Lytechinus pictus: one gene and its partner. The protein of the gene in region 2 interacts with the protein of the main gene of each other region in a pairwise test. Links are inferred from orthologs where the notes say so. Each region holds a gene or a part of one and is shown on either strand. Other genes may lie near its edges.

Evidence for each region.
Region 1: the proteins of peroxisomal membrane protein PEX13-like (region 2) and peroxisomal membrane protein PEX14-like interact in a two-hybrid assay, tested with the Homo sapiens proteins (2 studies listed by BioGRID and IntAct, with this or other methods). The link is inferred for Lytechinus pictus from reciprocal best matches to the Homo sapiens genes PEX13 and PEX14.

Annotation. Positions count from the first base shown.
Region 1 is NC_087258.1:9,819,277-9,828,988, forward strand, and holds the start of peroxisomal membrane protein PEX14-like, read right to left. Parts: upstream 4,792-9,712; 5' UTR 4,721-4,791; coding exon 4,697-4,720; intron 35-4,696; coding exon 1-34. UniProt on the Homo sapiens protein: Component of the PEX13-PEX14 docking complex, a translocon channel that specifically mediates the import of peroxisomal cargo proteins bound to PEX5 receptor.
Region 2 is NC_087261.1:4,567,534-4,577,951, reverse strand, and holds the start of peroxisomal membrane protein PEX13-like, read right to left. Parts: upstream 4,130-10,418; 5' UTR 4,035-4,129; coding exon 3,955-4,034; intron 1-3,954. UniProt on the Homo sapiens protein: Component of the PEX13-PEX14 docking complex, a translocon channel that specifically mediates the import of peroxisomal cargo proteins bound to PEX5 receptor.

The DNA of each region.
Region 1 (9,712 bases), on a different chromosome or scaffold from region 2:
CATTTTCATTTATAGCAGTATTCCCTGCAGAGCCCTGCATATAGACAAAGAATATTTACACAATGTCAAAACGTTTAAGGACGTTCCACAGTTAAAGTGAAATCCATGTCATTTTCACCAAACTTTGCACATTGATACTTTAGCACCTGAATATTCCAATTATGCAAAAATTAATATGGGTCCATGTGCTTGATTTTTTGCCATAGAGTTTTAAAGTTCACCCAAATGGATGTTCTTAAGCATTTTTTTCTTCTTTTTTTCCCCTTCCACAGGGTTCTTTATTTTCAAAAAGCATAATTACACTGTATAAACATTTACAATTTTTTCAAACAGTAAATAAACATGGTATATATATATAATTCCTAATACATAGACATATAGTCAAACTGACTTATTATACAATCAATGAGTTGTCACAGCCAAAGCAAATTTGGCAAGAAAAATAAGAGATCTGATACATATATCTAAGAAATTTAAACATAATTGGTAATAAGTATGTTTGTTAATGTGACAGATTGCCAGCTTGTTCGATAAAGTTTCTGAAACAAGACCATTTCTTTCTGAACTTATTTGCTCTGATATTTTTTTCATAAATATATTTTTCCATTTCATAATAAAGTTTTAAAGCTGACATAATTGTGGTAAATGAAGGTAACTCTTTTCTCAATTTGGCTAAATATATCTCTTTTCTTACCATCATGACACAGTTAGAGCATTATTATTTGTACCACAAAATCCAAACAATGTGTTTTCATTCGTTAATACGATCACCTCTCGAGTATTTTGAAATATCCATGATTCTATTCTCGACCATATTACATTAGAATGAGTACAAAGGCAAAATATATGCATAATTGTTTCATCATTATCAATACAAAAAGTACATTTCGTATTTGTTACTATACCACATTTCAACAGAGAATCTTTCATATACAATATTTTATCTAAAATTGTAAACCACCTATGTTTATATCCATTGTTGCCTGAAAAGGGATCAAACAAAAAGCAACCCAAAGGTCATCTCAAAAACCTAACAGACCTTTCCAGCTGACAAGAGCCTTACATTCTTTAACTTCAAAGTGAAAAAAAGAGCGATATATATTTGAGCAACCTACGCGTGTTTTCACAACAAGTTGCAAAGCTTCAGGAATGATTGGTTCAATAGATTTAGTAATTATATGTGAATCTGTGGGAAAACCAGAACTAATTGCGTCACAAAGACCGTAATACTGTAGAAAATTGGTTTGTATACCATACGCATGTTGAAATTCAAAGTATGGAAAGAAGGTACCATCTGTTCTAAGAATGTCATTAACAAAATGTATTCCTCGTAAATCCCAAGCCCTGAAATAGATTGGTTTGTTATTTATTTTCATTTGAGGGTTATTCCATAGAGGCTGACAGGCTATGTCATCAATTAACAATTCAAGCAAAAAAGCAGTACACACCTCAAAACCCTTTTAAAACATGTTCCGGCATAATCGTGATATAGTCCCCAAATCCCAAAATGGGGATTATTAGAATCACACCTACCAGAACGCATGAAAATCACTTCCTTTCTCCAGAACACAGTCCCCAACTCTCGCACAGCTCGAGAACTTGCGAAATGATAACACACACAAATGAAACACACTTACACGTACACTTGGATTCTCTCCCTATTATATACTCGTGATACAGTCCCCACTCTATGGGAAATCAAGTTCACTTTGCACGCAGTGGGGATAGCTCCAACAGTACATTATACTCGTGATACCGTCCCCTCACAACATAAAATCGTGCTCGTTCGACAAGGGGATGGGGACAGTTTCCCAGTGCAACGTGACAAGGAAGACTCATTCAAAACCTTCGGGAATTATTGTCATTATCATATTATATTATCATTATTATCATTTTATCATTATATTATTATGGTTATTTAATCAAAATTATCATCATTATTATTGTTATTATCAATATTATTGTTATTTAAACATAATTATCATTATTATTATTGTTATTATCATTATTATTGTTATTTAATCATAATTATCATTATTATTATTGCTATTATCATTATTATTATTATCATTATTAATATCATTATTATTATTACTATCATCATCATATATCATTATTATTTTTTATTATTGTTGTTGTTATTATTATTATTATAATAATGATGATAATATTATAAATTATTATATTATCATTATTATTCTTTATCATTGAAAATGTGCCCCTTCCATCCATTCTGTTCCTTGTATTTCATTTAATTCCTACAAATGAAATCACTGTAGACTCATAATAACGTTTGGGTATTAATTATTATCATAATTATTATCATCATTGGCATCATTTTCATTATTGTTGTTGTTATTATTGAAAGAGTCACCCCAAAACATTAAAGTAATCAATACAAATATGTGACGGAAATGAAAAGTAAAGTAATGATAACAACAATAGTATAATGATGGGGATGATGATAATAAAGATTAATAACAATAATGATGTTGATAATAATTATGATAAAGGTTAATATAATGGTAATAATAGAGAATAATAACAATAACAATAATTATCATAAAAATAATAAATAAAAGATAAATAATGTTAACAATGTAAATAATGTTTTTATTATTGTTGTTATTATTATTATTATAATAATGATGATAATATTATAAATTATTATATTATCATTATTATTATTATTCTTTATCATTGAAAATGTGCCCCTTCCATCCATTCTGTTCCTTCAATCCATGACCACCTAATTCCAATATTGTATCTCTCTATTGTCATTTGTATCTGTTTAATACTTGTTTTACATGTACCTTATATTTTCTTGCCTTATTATTGCCCATTGTATTTGTTATTACTGTATTCTATACTCTGTATTGATTTTTATTGGAATTGAATAAAACATTGAATTGAATTGAACAAAAAATAAGGATAACAATATTAAGTAAAAAAAAATAAATACCATAAAAAATAATGACAATAATGATAATAATTACGATAATACCCAAAAGTTATGAATGAGTCTACAGTGATTTCATTTGAAGGAATTAAATGAAATACAAGGAACGGACTGGATGGAAGGGGCACAATACCAATGATAAAGAATAATAATGATAATAATAATATAATAATTTATTATACTATTATCACTATTATGATGATAATAATAACAACAACAATAAAGAATAATATTTATTATGATGATATTAATAATAATATAATAAAAATAACAATAATAATAACAACAGCAATAATAATACAATAAGGTATAATAACAATATTAATAACAACAATAATAAAGAATAATGATTAATGATGATGATTATAATAATAATATAATAAAGAATAATAACCATAATAACAACAACAATAATAAAGAATAATAATGATATATGATGATATCTATAAAAATAATTATATTAATAATGATAACAAAATATTGATAATAAAAATAATAATAAAAAAAACAATAATATAATAAAGTATAACAATAATAATAACAATGATAAAGAATAATAATGATGTATGATGATGATAGTAATAATAAAATAAATAATAACAATAATTGCGATTAAATAACAATAATAATGATAACAATAATGATAACTATGATTAAATAACAATAAAAATAATTATGATAAAATAATAATGATAAAATAATAATGATAAAATGATAATAATGATAATATAATATGATGATGACAATAATAATAATAATTCCCGAAGATTTTGAATGAGTCTTCCTTGTCACGTTGCACTGGGAAACTGTCCCCATCCCCTTGTCGAACGAGCACGATTTTATGTTGTGAGGGGACGGTATCACGAGTATAATATACTGTTGGAGCTATCCCCACTGCGTGCCAAATGAACTGTGTATCCCATAGCGCGGGGACTGCATCACGAGTATACTATACTGTTGAAACTGTCCCCACCGCCGTGAAAATCAAACTTGATTTCCCGCAGAGTCTGAGAGTGGGGACTGTATCACGAGTATATAATAGGGAGAGAACCCAAGTGTAAGTGTGTTTCATTTGCGTGTGTTATCATTTCGCAAGTTCTTGAGCTGTGCGAATCTAATAATCCCTATTTTTGGATTTGGGGACTATATCACGATTATGCCCATGTTCCAAACAATCGCGCATGTTGGTGACTTCCATTCCAATGCATTCGTCTTTGTGACTTTGTCAGGAAGATGCGTGCGACCGCGAACAAAATTTTGAATTTAATGTATTCCTTTGTTTTTAAACATCGCTGATTCGATTTCGACTTTAGAAGCTTAACTCAATAACTGCCGATCCGATGTACAAACATTCACAAAAGGCAGAGTCTGGAGCACTAAAGTTTTATCTCAAGTCGAAGAGCTGAATTGCCTAAGGCTAAGCTCCTGTCCTTGATCGAGCACTCGCCCCTCCTCTGACTCTGAGTCTAGAGTCTGAATCTCTCCTCAATACGGTCCGGCCGCAAATATAAAAGCAGCAGCAGAAACGGATCTGCATTTCGTCCCCGGCCAGAGTTCCCCGGTGCAAAGGCTATGCATTACCGTTGGCGTAAACGAGGTCCGAGTTCGACTTGGGCCGCGCGAGCAAGCGCTCAAATACCCTCGGTTATAGAATACACCTAGAGTATAGCATCATTTACTGAAAATCTTAATACAGTATATCATAATAATACAAATACCACTACTTTCTTAAATTACCTCTGCGTCTGTCTTTGTCGACATTTTGTTGGAAAACAGGAGGCGTATTGGTCCTTCTTTTTGTTCACTGCACAGCTATCGCATAAGTTATACAAACTTTAATCGATGAGGGCAGCAGATGCATGCATGAGAAGCCAGATTGATCACACAAAAAAAGGTCTAAATAAAATAAATATAATTAGGTTATTGGAATAGCTATATTACAAAATATTACAAAGCAACCCCCCCCAAAAAAAAAAAGAATCCAGGGAAGGCCCGCTGATGGGCGTCGGTAGGCCCCAGAGTAGGCCTAATAACAATTAAAGGGGTACTCCACCAGACTGACAAGAAATGTTTTGAATAGATAAAGTAAAATAAGACGAACAATCACTGAAAGTTTCATCAAGGAATAACAAAGACAAAGTTATGATATTTCAAAGTTTTTGCATTATTTCGGTGAATCAGTTCTATGCATTTATTCATGTAAACCTACTACCTGCTACCTGCTACTACTCAAGCCATATTCAGCTCATCTCATTTGGTTTACATCAGGTGGGTGTTTCATGAAAGTTGTCAGCACTGACTAATTTGTCAGTGCTGACTAATGATTTCAGTGAATCCTTGGTTTTGATTGGCTGAAAGGCACTAGTCTCTGACTGTTACTATAGTAACTGTCAGAGAAAGACAACTTTTCAGTGCTGACAACTTTCATGAAACGGTCCCCAGACTCCTTTTCAGGACTTCACTCACTTTCAAGAAAAGAATATACTTCTAATTTTCTCTTTTCATCCTATATCTCGTCTTTCCATTTCAATCTTTCTGCCTGAGTTTCCTTCCCTTCTTCAAATTACACATGGTGGATCGTAAACCTTCTCCACGTTATCCACCATGCAAACCTATAAGAGATCATGTTTTTTCTGAATACCATGTCAAAATCAATCTCAAAGTTAGATTCTCATGAAAAGATGATTTTTTTTCTCGCTCGCTTCGCTTTCTCGGGACTTATATTAAGCAACTTTTTATCTGTGCGCGCCACGTTGCCCCCCCCCCCCCCCGGGCCCCCTCTCTCTTTGTACTTATCACACATTGAGCTTCGCCCTTATGGCAAGCCGTTTTAACATTTAAGCCTATTTCTTGATATCAAGAATTCATTTCTTTATATCAAGAATTCGATTTCTTGATATCAAGAATTACCATTGCTCGGGCCGGCAGAATCATAAAAAATCCTGTTCATACGCAACCACAATGCGTAGTCTTCGCCAGACCAGACGTATCGCTTACGTTCAGCATAACAGCAAAGACAATAAATGCAGCCTCCGCCTAGATTATAGGCTAGTTCATACCATAATTTGAAATTTTTGGCTCTTGCCCCCCAAAAGTTATTAGAATTTTAATCATTTGATTTGTGAAGGCGTCATTATGCGAGCAGCTTCCCTGCATATTGCATGGTAAAAAGTCAATGAAATGTCATTTTCTCAGAAAATTGAAAATGGCTTTTATTGCACCATCAGTATATCAATACACAAATTATTTCAAACGCGCTCCTAAAAAAAAAGAAAAATTAGTCGTCATGAACAATTAAACAGGACTTTTATGCATTTTATATTACAAAACATAATGGGGCAGCTGCTCGTTTATGACGTCATAAATTAAAAACCTTCACATTTTAATAACTCAACTTTCTTAATTTTTAATGGATTTTCCTCAAACCTTTACCAATATTTTTTTATTATTTTTATGCTATTTTTACAACAAACTTTTCGTCAGGGTAAATTTCCCCTTTAAATTACCTGCTTTATACCCCCGTATTTTTATGAACATCATTCTGCAGCAAATTCATTACATTTTTAAAGCCTATTGATAAGATTTTACTATTTTATCTACCCTACACTCTTAAACAGGTTGGACAAAAAGGCCCAATTTTCAACCATCACTGGGCAACATACTTTCCATACAACTATTGGTTAAAATCTGTCCAAATTGGGTAATAAATTTTCTCAATTGGATAATAATTGCCCAGAATATATATATATTATATTTTTTACCAACATACATTACCCAAAACAGTGGACAATATGTTGCCCAACATTTTTAGTGTGTATACGGCATGGGGTGTGGGTACATTACATTTATATTGACAAAGATTGAATTCATGTATGATAATTCATTGTATTAGATTTGTTTGCACATATCAAATTCAGATTATCATACTTAATAAAACAATACGAGTTCATGTTTTGTTGTATAGGGGTTATCATTATCTTGCCAAATTGTTTAAATCTCGCTATCTATCTTAGTTCTAAAGTCTATACATCTTTGGACCAAACAAAAAATAAACACCGGGAAATGCATCTTAATTTATTGATATAAGCAATTTCACAGTGACGTGGTTGTAAGTAAGTGTATACAGTCGATGATACATTCATCAGTTCAACCACACTGACTGAAAGGTATATCAAAATGGAGTTCAAGAAGATCACAAGACTAACAGTTTTTCTATGTCTCTTCTGTACTGTACTCTCTGTTAATGTACAACATGGAAAGAACTCTAGGTTTAAGAAATCAGCGGAAATGGAGGAAGCGTTGATGCATCCCAAAAGGATGTACAAACGAGCATCTACAACACAAAAGGATGCCAATAGCAAACGACCTCGTGTTGAAGATGGTGACGCCGGCATCGGTGAGATATCCCAATTCCTTGACGAAGGTTTTATGCGGCGAATGGAACTGGACGATTCAGAGATGCACGATCCGCCAAACATCAAGAAATCTTTACGACCACAAAATGGATATGACCTAGATGGGATGCATCGAAGGCCCGCGTCTTCATCACGAAAGGAACCCTCCATTTCCTCGCCCAAAGGCGGTGATGATGAAAATGGGGACGATGACATCGGTGAGATCTCCCAATATCTTGACGAAGGTTTGATGCGACGTATAGAACTGGATGATTCAGAGATGCACGATCAGCCAAACATCAAGAAATCTTTACGACCACAAAATGCTGACGACCTAGATGGGATGCATCCAAGGGCGCCTATACCACAAAAGGATTCCTTACCCAAAGGCGGTAATGCTGAGAGCGGTGATGCTGATATCGGCGACATCTCCCAATTTCTTGACGAAGGATTCATGCGGCGTATGGAGTTGGATGATTCAGAGATGCACGATCCCTCAAACATCAATAAATCTTCAAGACCACAACGGGGAATCGACGTCGTTGACATGCATCCGATTAAGCCTGGTGTACAAGGAGTTCAAGCCGAAGATGAAACTTTTGAAGATCCAGCCATCATTGATTCCGATTTATTTTCGCTGATGGGAAAGGACGTATTTCAGCAATTTGCATTTGATGACAGCGCCATGCACCAAGGCAAGACTGCAGATCAACAGTTCCACCCATCTTCAAAGTCAGAACGACCTCCAGAGGAAATGGGCCAGCGTATCATGCATCCTCACGGCGCCACTCGGAAGGACAATCCCGCCAAGGTGCCATCCAAGGAAGACGTCGCAACCGAACTTGATGAAGATTTCCTGCGGCAAATGGAACTTGATGACAGCCGTGTTCACTCTGTCGATGAACGTACAGGGTGGGAAAAATCTTCGTATTACAACGGCAAGGATAAAAAGGCAAGCCTTCGAATACATCCTGAGATGGCTCTTCAAAACCATGACGTGGGTGACCAAGATGCGGGTGACGAAATCGACGTCGATGATCTACTCGGACGAGATTTTATGAAACGCATGGAAATCGACGACTCATATCTTCATGATTCTAATCCACAGCTGCGGGAAGATGTCGCTGAAAGGTTCATCGAGAAGAGGAGTAGGCCTGGCATTTCTCGTCGCCTACTGTCCCTTCAAGAGGATGAGATTATGCCACAGATGGCGATGAAGAACGTAGGAAAGTTGGGCCAAATAAAAGCTCGGCGAGGTTTTCCAATTCATGCATCCTGTCGACTAAACTGGTGAGAAGTTGCATCCACAAAATCTTAACATAATTGAATTTGAGGAATTGTATATAGAGCTTTAGAAGAATGTTTATCATTTTGTTAAGTCATTTTATTGCATTATTCTATAGCTTCAACTTCATAATTTGCAGATTTACGTTGAATTCATGCAGCCCGGCTAACAGGCTTATAAGACCAAGTGGCTATCCCCTTTCCCACTTGGAACTCGATATTTTTTAGGGGGCGGCGGCGGCGGCGGGGAAACAGATTTACGATTGTTTATTTTGAAATGTTAATTTATTAATTGTTTTATCGTGGCTCTTTCATTTTTACAGGCTATATGCGTGGTATATCCATTCTGTATAAATTTCTTATTCAAAGTTTTAAGCTCAATGATGACGACTCAGTGATTCTCATAATTGACCTGATTATACTCACCCAGTGGAGCTCGGGGGTACTTGCCCTCCTACCCTCCCCCCATTTACTAAAAAACGGGGAGGGAGAAATACAAAGAAACATGATGGGAAACTAAATAAGGAAATATAAGACATATATATTTATGTAATTTCATGAAAATAATTTGCTCAGGACCTATACCGTTCATCACTGTCTTATGGCGCTCGATATTGGCTGTTTAATGAAATAGGGCCTAATCCCGTTCAGAATTAAACGGTGCTAATAAAAAATCAAATGCCATGCATTTTCAACTTTCAGGTCAATACATAGGCCTATACATCAAAATAATGTTTGTCCTTGCGCTTCGAGCTTTTATCAGTTTATCCGTGACATGTTAATTTCAAAGTATAATGGAATTAATGAACCTGCTTTATTGATCTCTGAGAATTCGGAGGGCCGGGGGTGTACATCCAGTGGCGTAGCTAGGATTTTTTTCCTGGGGGGCACTGGGGGGTCCTTGCTTTTTCAGGGGGGGGGGCACCATTTTTTCCGTTGTGTATGTATGAGTCACAAGGGCGGATCCGACTTTCGCCAATAGGGGACGGGGCCCGAAATTATCTTCAGCTATATTTCCCCCGATCAGTCACTTCTTAGTTTTATTCTTATAGAACAACATAAACATGAAATAATC
Region 2 (10,418 bases):
ATTTTGCATTGGTCCTCGGCTTTTTTGTGTTTTGTGATCATGGAAAATACAAACGAACTTTGCTCTGTCATCTGCTTGTGCAACGCTCACCCAGCCAGCGCATACCGTCAGTGCATGCAATGCGTGCATAGCGCATTGACGCGACGGCCGGAGCAAAAAAAATATGGACTCGATTTTCCCCGCCGCGCCTTCAAAATTCGATTCATCGATGTTCGATCGAATTAAAGCTGTCGAATACCGGTTTTCAAAATAATCGATATGACTCAGGCTTAATTTAAATATATATGCTAATTTTGTAATGCAATTATGAGTTTTACTGAGGCAAGGAAGCCCAGCAAATAAAGCAGTGCACTACCAGACTTCATCGAGTTAAGTTCAATTTGTTCCTGTGTCTTCATAATTAAGTTCCATCTTCTCCTCTCCGTTTGCTTCTGTTTGATGTATGATAGAGCTTGTGTTATTCCCTTCTTCAGTTAAACATTTATTTCCCCCTTAAGACTTGTATTATTTTCAACCCCACAGTGGCAAGTAATATGGCAAAAAAAAATTCATTTTTCAATCTCTATTTTTAATTAAGAAAAAATAATTTAAAGATTCAAATTTATATAAGAGCCAAGTTATGATGAATAGCTGTATTGGAAACTGACAGTGTAAGAAAATCAAGCATTTGTCCCATAGAAAAAGAGAAAATAAGCCAAAATTGCCACCCTTATTTTGCCACACATGGAGATGTAACCATTATATCATAACCTTGTTCATTGAATGAGTGGATGTAACTGAGAACAATGTTATATCATAACCTTGTTCATTAAATGAGTGGCAGGGCCAGGGTATCGTAGACAGCAAAAAATTCCATGAGAACACACACGAGAATCGAAAATCACTCAAAATCATAGGCAATCTTCTCCTAATGCTTAGACCGCGGTCTAACTCTGTGCTGAAATTACGGGGAGCCAAAAATATGTTCATGTATAGATCTATTGCTTACGACTTACAATTACATGATTTACTATTTTGTTTCCTTTTGGCTTTGCTTTCATAATAATACTTTGAAATACTTCACTCCTCTTCAGAGTTCAGTTATCATTTCCAGACAATTATGAACAATATGGATGTCATTATGAGTGAGTTAATAAATTGGATGTGTATTGTAATTGTTAGGGATTTGTGCTGCAACTAGTACTAGCTCTCCATAGTTACACCACAACTTTAAACCAGGGTTTAATTTAAACCCGGGTTCAGAATACAACTTTAAACTAGGGTTTAATTTAAACCAGAGTTCAGAATACGTACGGGTCAATGAATCATGCATGCTCGTAATTAGACCAAAAGCTTCAGTCTCTGTATTATGGTTGTTCCGCTGAACTGCGTTGGCTCACTCACCAATACATACCGTAAGTAACGGTCTATTAACCGTACGTTTTTCTCGGCGGGATAGAGGGGTATGAGCCACGGGTAATAAGAAGCGATTATTAAACGCACCCACCTTCATAACACTCATTTCGACTTTTATTCTCGGTTCAAAGCAGCGAAGTTCCCTGGCTAAGTTCAAAGAGAAGCCAAGCATACTCGGTAATATTTTGTCACAGCTGAGCGAGCGCGAGAGTTGAGTTAGCTGAGCTAGCTTGCGTTGTATTGTGGTAATAGTGCGACTTAAGCTGGCGCTATTCATTTTAACCCTCGATCCCCTCTAAAGTCCTGTTTCGCGCCAGCTTATTTTTTCTTTCCCGTTTGCTTTTCATAAGATAGCATGTACACCACGCAACGAGAGAGACGGCACGAAGCCGTCAAAACAACTGTAAAAAATGCCAATTTCTTTGTTCTTGAACCTTCCTTCCAGTAATCCCGTATCCAAAATTCATGCTAAGACATCGAATGCTAGACAAATTCTGAAAGTGATTGTGAGTTTGTGATGCAAGAAATGTGAATATTTCTTCCTCCTACGGCGGGAAAGACACAGATCATTATTTGATAAGATGTACTGGTACCGTATCGTAGTTTGCAATGTACAAGAACAGCAGTGCTGTGTGTGTGTACACTGTGACTGTGAGGTGAGTGAGTGTGTAAGTGGCCAATATTGTCGGGACCTTTCTTTCTTGCAAACATTTGTAGATGAATTGATCAAGAACAGCAGATTTCCGCATACCGGTAATCTCTTTGGATACTTTGAAATCTTTAACTTAGTTTTTTTTTTTTTTTTTTTTTAGTCCAAAGTTGGGGGTGCGGTTAAAGGGATTGTTTAACTTTGTGAGCAGCTGATTTACAAAATTCTCAAACTGAGACAAAACATGTGTATGAGTGCATGTATTTGTCCCCAAAAACCCTGAAACAAACCACAATATAGAATGAAAAACTCTAATTTAGATACAAGTAGCAATTTATTAGCTTGATTTTGAGAACCGTCTAGTAGACAGGTTAAGCTTATGACCAGTTTACTCCAATTCAAAAAGTCCGTTGGCTATTTTGACTGCCTTCTGTTGTGTGTATCTCCTATTTACACACACACGCTATTAGCTGCACTGAACATTCAGTGTATACCTAGTACACACTGTATGTAGGCCATGCTGTGTTCATCTAGAGTTCGTGTGTTGTGGTGCACAGGTTCACTGTATACACATGTCATAGTTATTGAAACCAACTCCCAATTATTTTCAAACTTTGGTTTACATCTTTAAGGTTTTAAAATTGATCCTGTGGATATAATACTTTCATGACTTTGAAACTTTTGGGATGGTATTTTTACACTATAAGCCTAATGTTAAGCCCATTTTCAAGAACCAAAATGAGAATTTTTTAAATCAGAACAAAGTGAAATGATCACTTTAATCCACGGACGCGACGCTCGCGTCCGTAACGTTGGGGAATTACAATAAGAAACAAGATGGCGGCGTAAACATCGGGCAAGTCTCTTCTGTCTTTTCACAATATTTTCTCATTTTTTTGATGAATTCTTGTTTAAAAATAACGAGAGCGTATAAATGTCGGAAATGAAGTTTTATCCCATGTACATCAGACTCAGAGGCAGAGCTAACCCAGAGAGCTCCCGCCCGCACAGCGGGCGGGAGCCCAGAAGCTTACCGTGTATTTTACCATTGTCACCGGACTAGGGTGATTTATGGTCTAAATATTTCTCCAAATGAATTGTGAAAACAGAAAGTATACAATTACCACGATTATATGGATGAAGGTCTAACGAGTGGCAGATTCCTGACATCTGGGCACAGTCTGGAACCCCAAAAAAACGAAAAGTTCTCTCCTTCTACCCCGTCTCGATCGGCCATTTTCGTTAAAAATCGTAACAAAATGGCCGATCGAGACTGGGTAGAAGGAGAGAACTTTTCGTTTTTTTGAGGTTCCAGACTGTGCCCAGATGTCAGGAATCTGCCACTCGTTAGACCTTCATCCATATAATCGTGGTAATTGTATACTTTCCGTTTTCACAATTCATTTGGAGAAATATTTAGACCATAAATCACCCTAGTCCGGTGAAAATGGTAAAATACACGGTGAGCTTCTGGGCTCCCGCCCGCTGCGTGGGCGGGAGCTCTCTGGGTTAAGGCAGAGCTAGATCTTTTTTTAGTTTTAGTTTTAGTTTACTTTTAGAACAAAATAGAAGGAAAGTAGAAATCTCGGGGGCGAAAGTTTCAGGGTTTTTTGCGGTACACGCAGATGAATAGGTAGGACTCCCTGGCTTCGTTTAGAGTAAGCCTACGTAGTACGTTAATAAATTATTTTTACTCTCAAGAAGCCGCCTGGCTAATATGGGCGGAGTCAGACTCAAGTCAAGGACTCCTTGATCACTCGATACATGAATCACTACGCATCGGACTACACAGAGCTTTGCAGCGAGAATTCACTTCGGTGCCACATAAATCCATCTCTGACCAATAACGACCATGAAATAGACTTTGTTATTAATACTATAAAAGTGAAATAAAATAAAGAACCACTTACAGCATTGCTTGGTCGGCTGGATATCCTAAAGAAGGATTTATTGAGCCTCTTTTCTCCCATGGTTTCGGCGGAGCGGCCATTGCTAAATCTGCTATTAAAATCTGCTAGTTAGAATTTGTATTACGTCATGACGCGACGGGTCATGGCCTCGATCTTATATATCTAGCTCTCGATCTCCCCCCCCCCCCCCCCTCTAGGTACATTCTCCACAAAAGTGCACCAATAGGATTGGACAAACTTTCAAATTTTGACATACGAAAATTAATTAAACTCATTTGAATTCAGAAACTTTAATACTTCGAGAACACATAACAACAAACGGGTGATTTTTGACCCCAACATATTTTTCAAGAAATAGCATTGAACTTGAACACCTTTTTACATAGTTTTTACCACCCGTCAGATACGTTACCATTAGGCCTTAGACAAGAAAAATCGCTGTGGATGTATCATTTGTGGACCAATAGTATCAGTAAATATTTCAAAGTAAACGTAACTAATATACACACATGATTAAAAAGTAATTCTTGACATTTGATTGGTCGAGATGTATCAAAATGATAAATGTTATAAGTCTGTAAGTCAAAATCAGCCCGAAAAAAATAGTATATTTTCAGATAAAATACATTACCTAAATTGCAATTCATATCTCTAATACAATTTGATCTTATATTGCTTTGAAACATTAATAAAAATCATACATAAATACTGAAATTATTAAAGAAATTTCATTGTAAGCACACTTTACTACAGATTTTATACATTCTGAATTACAAGAAAAGAGAAAATTGGTAACGTATCTGACATACTTCCACAAAATTTCGTTTACTGTGGTTTATATCTCAAGATAACGATAAACTCAATCGTGCAATATATTTTACATCCAAACGAATTATCAACTACGAACATTCAGATTTATAATCCCGATTAAAAAACACTACTCAGTAATGCAAAGTCATGTATTCATCTATAGCATATATACGTGCATGCAAATATATAACTGTAATATGTCAATATGGTAACGTATCTTACAGACATCTATACTACAAAATATTGTTACTGTGACGCAATTACATAATTATGTTCTGTTTGAAATGTATGAGCTAAACTTTTGATTTAAAGTGCACAACGTACTTAGTCCATTTCCTTCTATAAACTCATTGATAAGATATCTAACACTATTAAGATGGAACAATATCATCAAATTTATTACCTGCGAGTGCAAGGCAAATATATAACTGTAATATGTCAATATGGTAACGTATCTTACAGACATCTATACTACAAAATGTTGTTACTGTGACTTATAATAGTAACATGCGTAAACTCACTCTTGCATTTTGTCTTACATCAAAATGTTATATCCACCTCGAACATAATGATTATTTATGATGATCACCTTGACATAGTTCAGTAAATAAAATTATGCATCGATAAACAAACACAGACAAAATTAACCTAAGACATAATTATAATACTGTTTCAAATATATGACCAAAGCTTTTGATTTCTAATGTGTACAGTCTATTATGTAGCTTTGTTAACTTTTAATGAAATATGTAACATCATGCAGTTTGGAAAAACATGATAAATTTGATTACATCCGAGTGTTTAGACGAATATATAACTGCAACGTAGGGTAACGTATTTGACTGTTGATAATTTAAACTTATAAGTACAATGTTATTTCACTTGGGCTATACTTGGTGTTTCGGCTCTGCTCCTAAAAAAAGAACCTTCTTAAATTGTATAAAAGATCTCATTCTTAACAATTAATCACGCTGAATAGTTATAAAAAGATTTGTATAAATTAATGTGTTTCCACATGTTCTGTCATAAAATTTGTTTTTAAAATTTAAAGAGAGCCAAGGAGCTATACGGTAGATAGTGGTGGTAACGTAGCAGACACAACTCTCAAGTAATTAAAATGTCTTTGTAGCACATCTGATTCATCATCCACTCAAATATTTCGGTACATTAAAGCTTACACTATATTGACGGATTCTACTTTTTCATATTTTTGTACATTCAGAGAGCCAAGACAAAACAACTAGACTACGGAATCGAAATATTCTCCTTCCACATATCAGTTGACAATTAACATTATGTTGCCGCTTGTACATGATGTGGCACGTATTAAAGCAAAAAGCCGGGTAAAAAAATGATTAGCATGATTTAAGAAGGATAATACAAACCGGATAACAACCGACAGCAAGTAAGGAAAATATTATATTTCAAAATTTCACATTTTCAGAAAACATATTCTAATGAGCAAGTTGTTAATGTCATCCCCTCATAATTTGTCACGTTTAAATGACATTTTGGATTGTTTTTGCCAGCATTGAGGCAACCATACCCCTTTAAGATATGTCAGAACAAATATTTAAGAACAAATAGCATCTCTCATTCATTTTGTTTTAATTTGGGGTTAGTTGAATAGGAAAACTTTACTGTATCATATTTGATAAATGGATTTTTTAAAGGATTTCTGTAAATTAAATGTGAAGAAAATTGTAAGGGAATTACATCATTAACTTGCTCATAAAAAAAGAAATGTTTTCCGAAAAAAAATTAATAACGTCATTATTTTCCTTTTTTATTAAAATATGCCATTTTCATCATTCTTGCATCACAGGGAAAGGATTCCTTTTCTTTGTAAATTGTTCGAAAAATGGGAGGATATGGAAAGTGCATAAATACAAGTAATGCTGTCCAAATATTTGTCACCTGCAAATTCTAATATTGATCCTTTTACTTAATTTGTGCTTCTTTATATTTTTTGGCCAAATCTTCGATTAGTGTCAACTGTTCGATGGTTAACTCAGATTTTCTCTCTGACTTTCCGGATCTCAGCACGCGTTTTACCCATGTCTTTTTTTTCTCTGAAATAAACGAGAGACAGACAGAGAGGAAAAATATCAGCATGGGATTTTTATATGTACATTATTTTATAATTAATAACAAATAAATATAAAATAGTTAGTCGTCGTGTACGTAAAAACATGACATTAATATCTAATAAGATACGTTACCAGTCGGGTAAGATACGTTACCGTGCCTATCTGGTAACATTCTAATGTTCATGCGAGCTATCACACACACTAAACAATCGCATGCATACGTGTTAGATGTCTTAAGCCTATATGTAACTGTTCCATCAACTTCAAATAACTCTCAAATGTATCATAGTACTCAAACAGATAAATGAACTATATTCTGTCAATATTCAAAAAATGAAAATTCTTACCAACCACGTAGCTGGGATGAATAACAAACGGCGAGAAGCCTTACATCTCCCTCAGACTCTCAGCACGTAACGCTCAATGCTTTGAAGGGTGAAGAAGCGCTAAAAGCATGTGCAAAATTAGAGAATGCGCGAATGGGCCTATCAACGCGCAATGCGGTAACGTATTTGACGGTAACGTATTTGACGGCCTTTAGGATCAACCTTGTGTTTTCACAAAATAACAACCTTTTCTTTCATAACTCCCATGTATTACCATAAGCAATGTAGAGTGCTCTAAAACAAAATACATTATAACTTTGTTAACCAAGTTATTTTTCTGTAATAGAGCAAAGTTTCAGTAACGTATCTTATTTTACCTTATGGTAACATACACAATTGAAAACTTTGTGTCTGAATATATTCATTATTATAGAGATTCAGTATACACTATTTGTATTTATATAGCCTTGAAATGGACTTATTCACTACACCGAAATACAGATCACTGCATTATTGTCTTCGTTCTTTTTAGGGTATCATACAAAAAGTAACGTATCTTATCCCGATTTGGAGACACCTTCGCTAAGACCGCAGGAAAAAATATACAAAAGTTTTTTCGCTAAGCAATATGCTTTTTTATTTAGGCACCGAAGGCATTATAAATTAGTGGACAAAACATGAAGTTCGGATATTACGGTAAAGAGCGGGAGTATGAAATATAATCACACAGGTCGCTGGAGACATGGGTAAAATGAGCACATATATGTTTTGTGCTGTCGTATATAATTTTTTCATGAGGTGGGGTGACCTCGGTTGATTTTAATTCTACTCAACATATTCTGTAGTATAAATAAAATTCAAAAAATTGGTTTCCTGATGAATTAAATTATGGTTTATAGCCTAGAGAAAGTTGGAGACACGAAAATGTCCTTTGGTGCCCCTTTTCGGAGAATGGCCCTCTAGCTAGCTGCTACCGCTAGCTCTAGACCCCCCCCCCCTCTTTCTCTCTCCCTCTCTGTCTTTCCTCTGCTTGCATCCCCCCTCCCTTAATTCTTACTTTCTACCTGTTTCTCACTCTCTTTCTCTCCCTATCTATATTTCTTTAATTCCCTTCCCCTCCCTAACCCTGTCCGACCCTAGCGTGCCACCCCAAATCCCATAATGGCAACTACCATGGTAACTAGGGCTCAGCAGCCAATCATAATCAAGGTTTCCATGGTGGTTGCCATAATGGCAAAGTTACAACAGTTCCAAGTCCTTTATGAATCGGGCCCCTGGCTCTGAAATCTTGTCGATCAATTCACGAGCACCCCCCCCCCCCCCCATATTAAAAGAAATGGAATAATTTCATACAGAAAAAATGATTACATTTTAGACTTCCCAATATCGAAATTCTGTCTTATGCAGCAGCACAATAAAAAAATTGAAGGTTTGATGAAAATTTTAAAAACAGAATTATTAAATTTTTTTAATATTGTGACATAATTATGAGAGCATCTCTTCCATAAACATGAAATTACCGTCTGATCGTGACTTTCTATCATGGTCAGCCCCACCCCTCCTCCCCCCCCCTTCAAAACCATTCTGCTGCCTGTCTTCCATACATCACATGCATAGGCAGCAGAAGCGGGGGGGGGACGTCCCCCCCTAAATTTGAGGTGGGGGGACGATCCCCCCTAAATTTCTTGTTGATAACTTTTTTTTTTTTTTTGCTTGTCAAAAAAATTTGGTGGTCCCCCCTAAATTTTCAGGCTTCCGCCGCCAATGGTCATATGATATATTCCATCTAAATTTGTGATACAAGAAGTTGTGGTCATCTTCACAAGCAAAGGACAGACAATCATATCATATTTAGAGACCACACTCTTGCAAATAAACTCGCAATGATAGTCTCTATGGCAGCCATACTCATTGACAGTCATTTTCTTTAGTTCAATAATAGGAAAGTAAGCAAGAACCCTCACCTAGAGGCTAATCCCACCTCGGGACTAGTGTAATGGTTGAAAACAAATTGACAAAACACGTGAAAACATTCTGATACATACTACAGTATTTCTTTATTACATTATGGGGAATAAACAGAAAATAGAGCTCAGAGACTGACATAGGTACAAAATAACTTACTAACCAGACAAATGCTTTAAATAAAATATGAGATAAACAAAGCTATCATAAATTGTATCTGACAAAATGGAAGGAATCCGAGGAGCATTTTCATGAAGAGCATTGTCAGTGAATTCCAATGACTAATTTTCCCACAGCCAATCTGATGCAAAGAAATTCAGTAGCTGATAACATCCATCTTTGTAAATATCAGACAAAACGCTTCATGGAAAGCTCCCCTGATACTGATAGCTGGCTTTATTAATTTAAGAAGATGGACAGCGACAAAAATGTTATGTTTTTAGAATACCAGTTATTAACAATCAATTCAGGTGCCCATTTTTTTTTTTCGTATCTTTAATCCAAAAGTTTGAATGTTTCTTTGTGAAAATAAAACAAGATTATAAAAAAGCGCCAAAACATAATCAGCACTATCGACCACACATGCACAAAGTCGGTTTCAAAAACTAGTGGCAATATAACTGGTCCATCATAATTCATTTACTTTTGACTCTTATCGACTTTGGCCATTACTGTAAACTGGCTTGCCATCATAGGAAATATAACTTCTAATCTTATCTTAATTTCCTAAGAAGATTATCAGACTCTGATCAATAAAACTTCAGGTCATTAATGGATAATGAAAAAATGAAAAATGAAAATCCATAATTTATTGTTCGAAATAGACATGAAGTGAAATACTCCGAAAATTTGCTTTGCCCAATTGATCGTGGGCCCGGCAGCCGCTGTGCAGCGCCAACTAATGGTTGCTTGATGTTCTAATAAATGACTGGGCATGTTGAAGAAAAAGTTTGACTTCACAGAGGTGGTTTTTACATACATGTACATTTCATGTGTATGTTTCTTTCAACACTCTACATTCAAAGAGGTCCAATAATAAATGCACATTTTTCTCAAAATTGAACTTAGTTCATGCTTGTCTTTGTATGGTGTGACAATGTAATGGCTACTTTGATTGTCCCATCGCATAAAATTTGAACTACCGGTATGATACATTTAATATCAAACGGTAGAGCTCTATCAAATAGTAACTACAATGGTGACAGTGCCCAGAGACAAATAAAATTAGAGTGCTATATTCTATGGAATTTACAAATTGGATGGCAACCTTTTT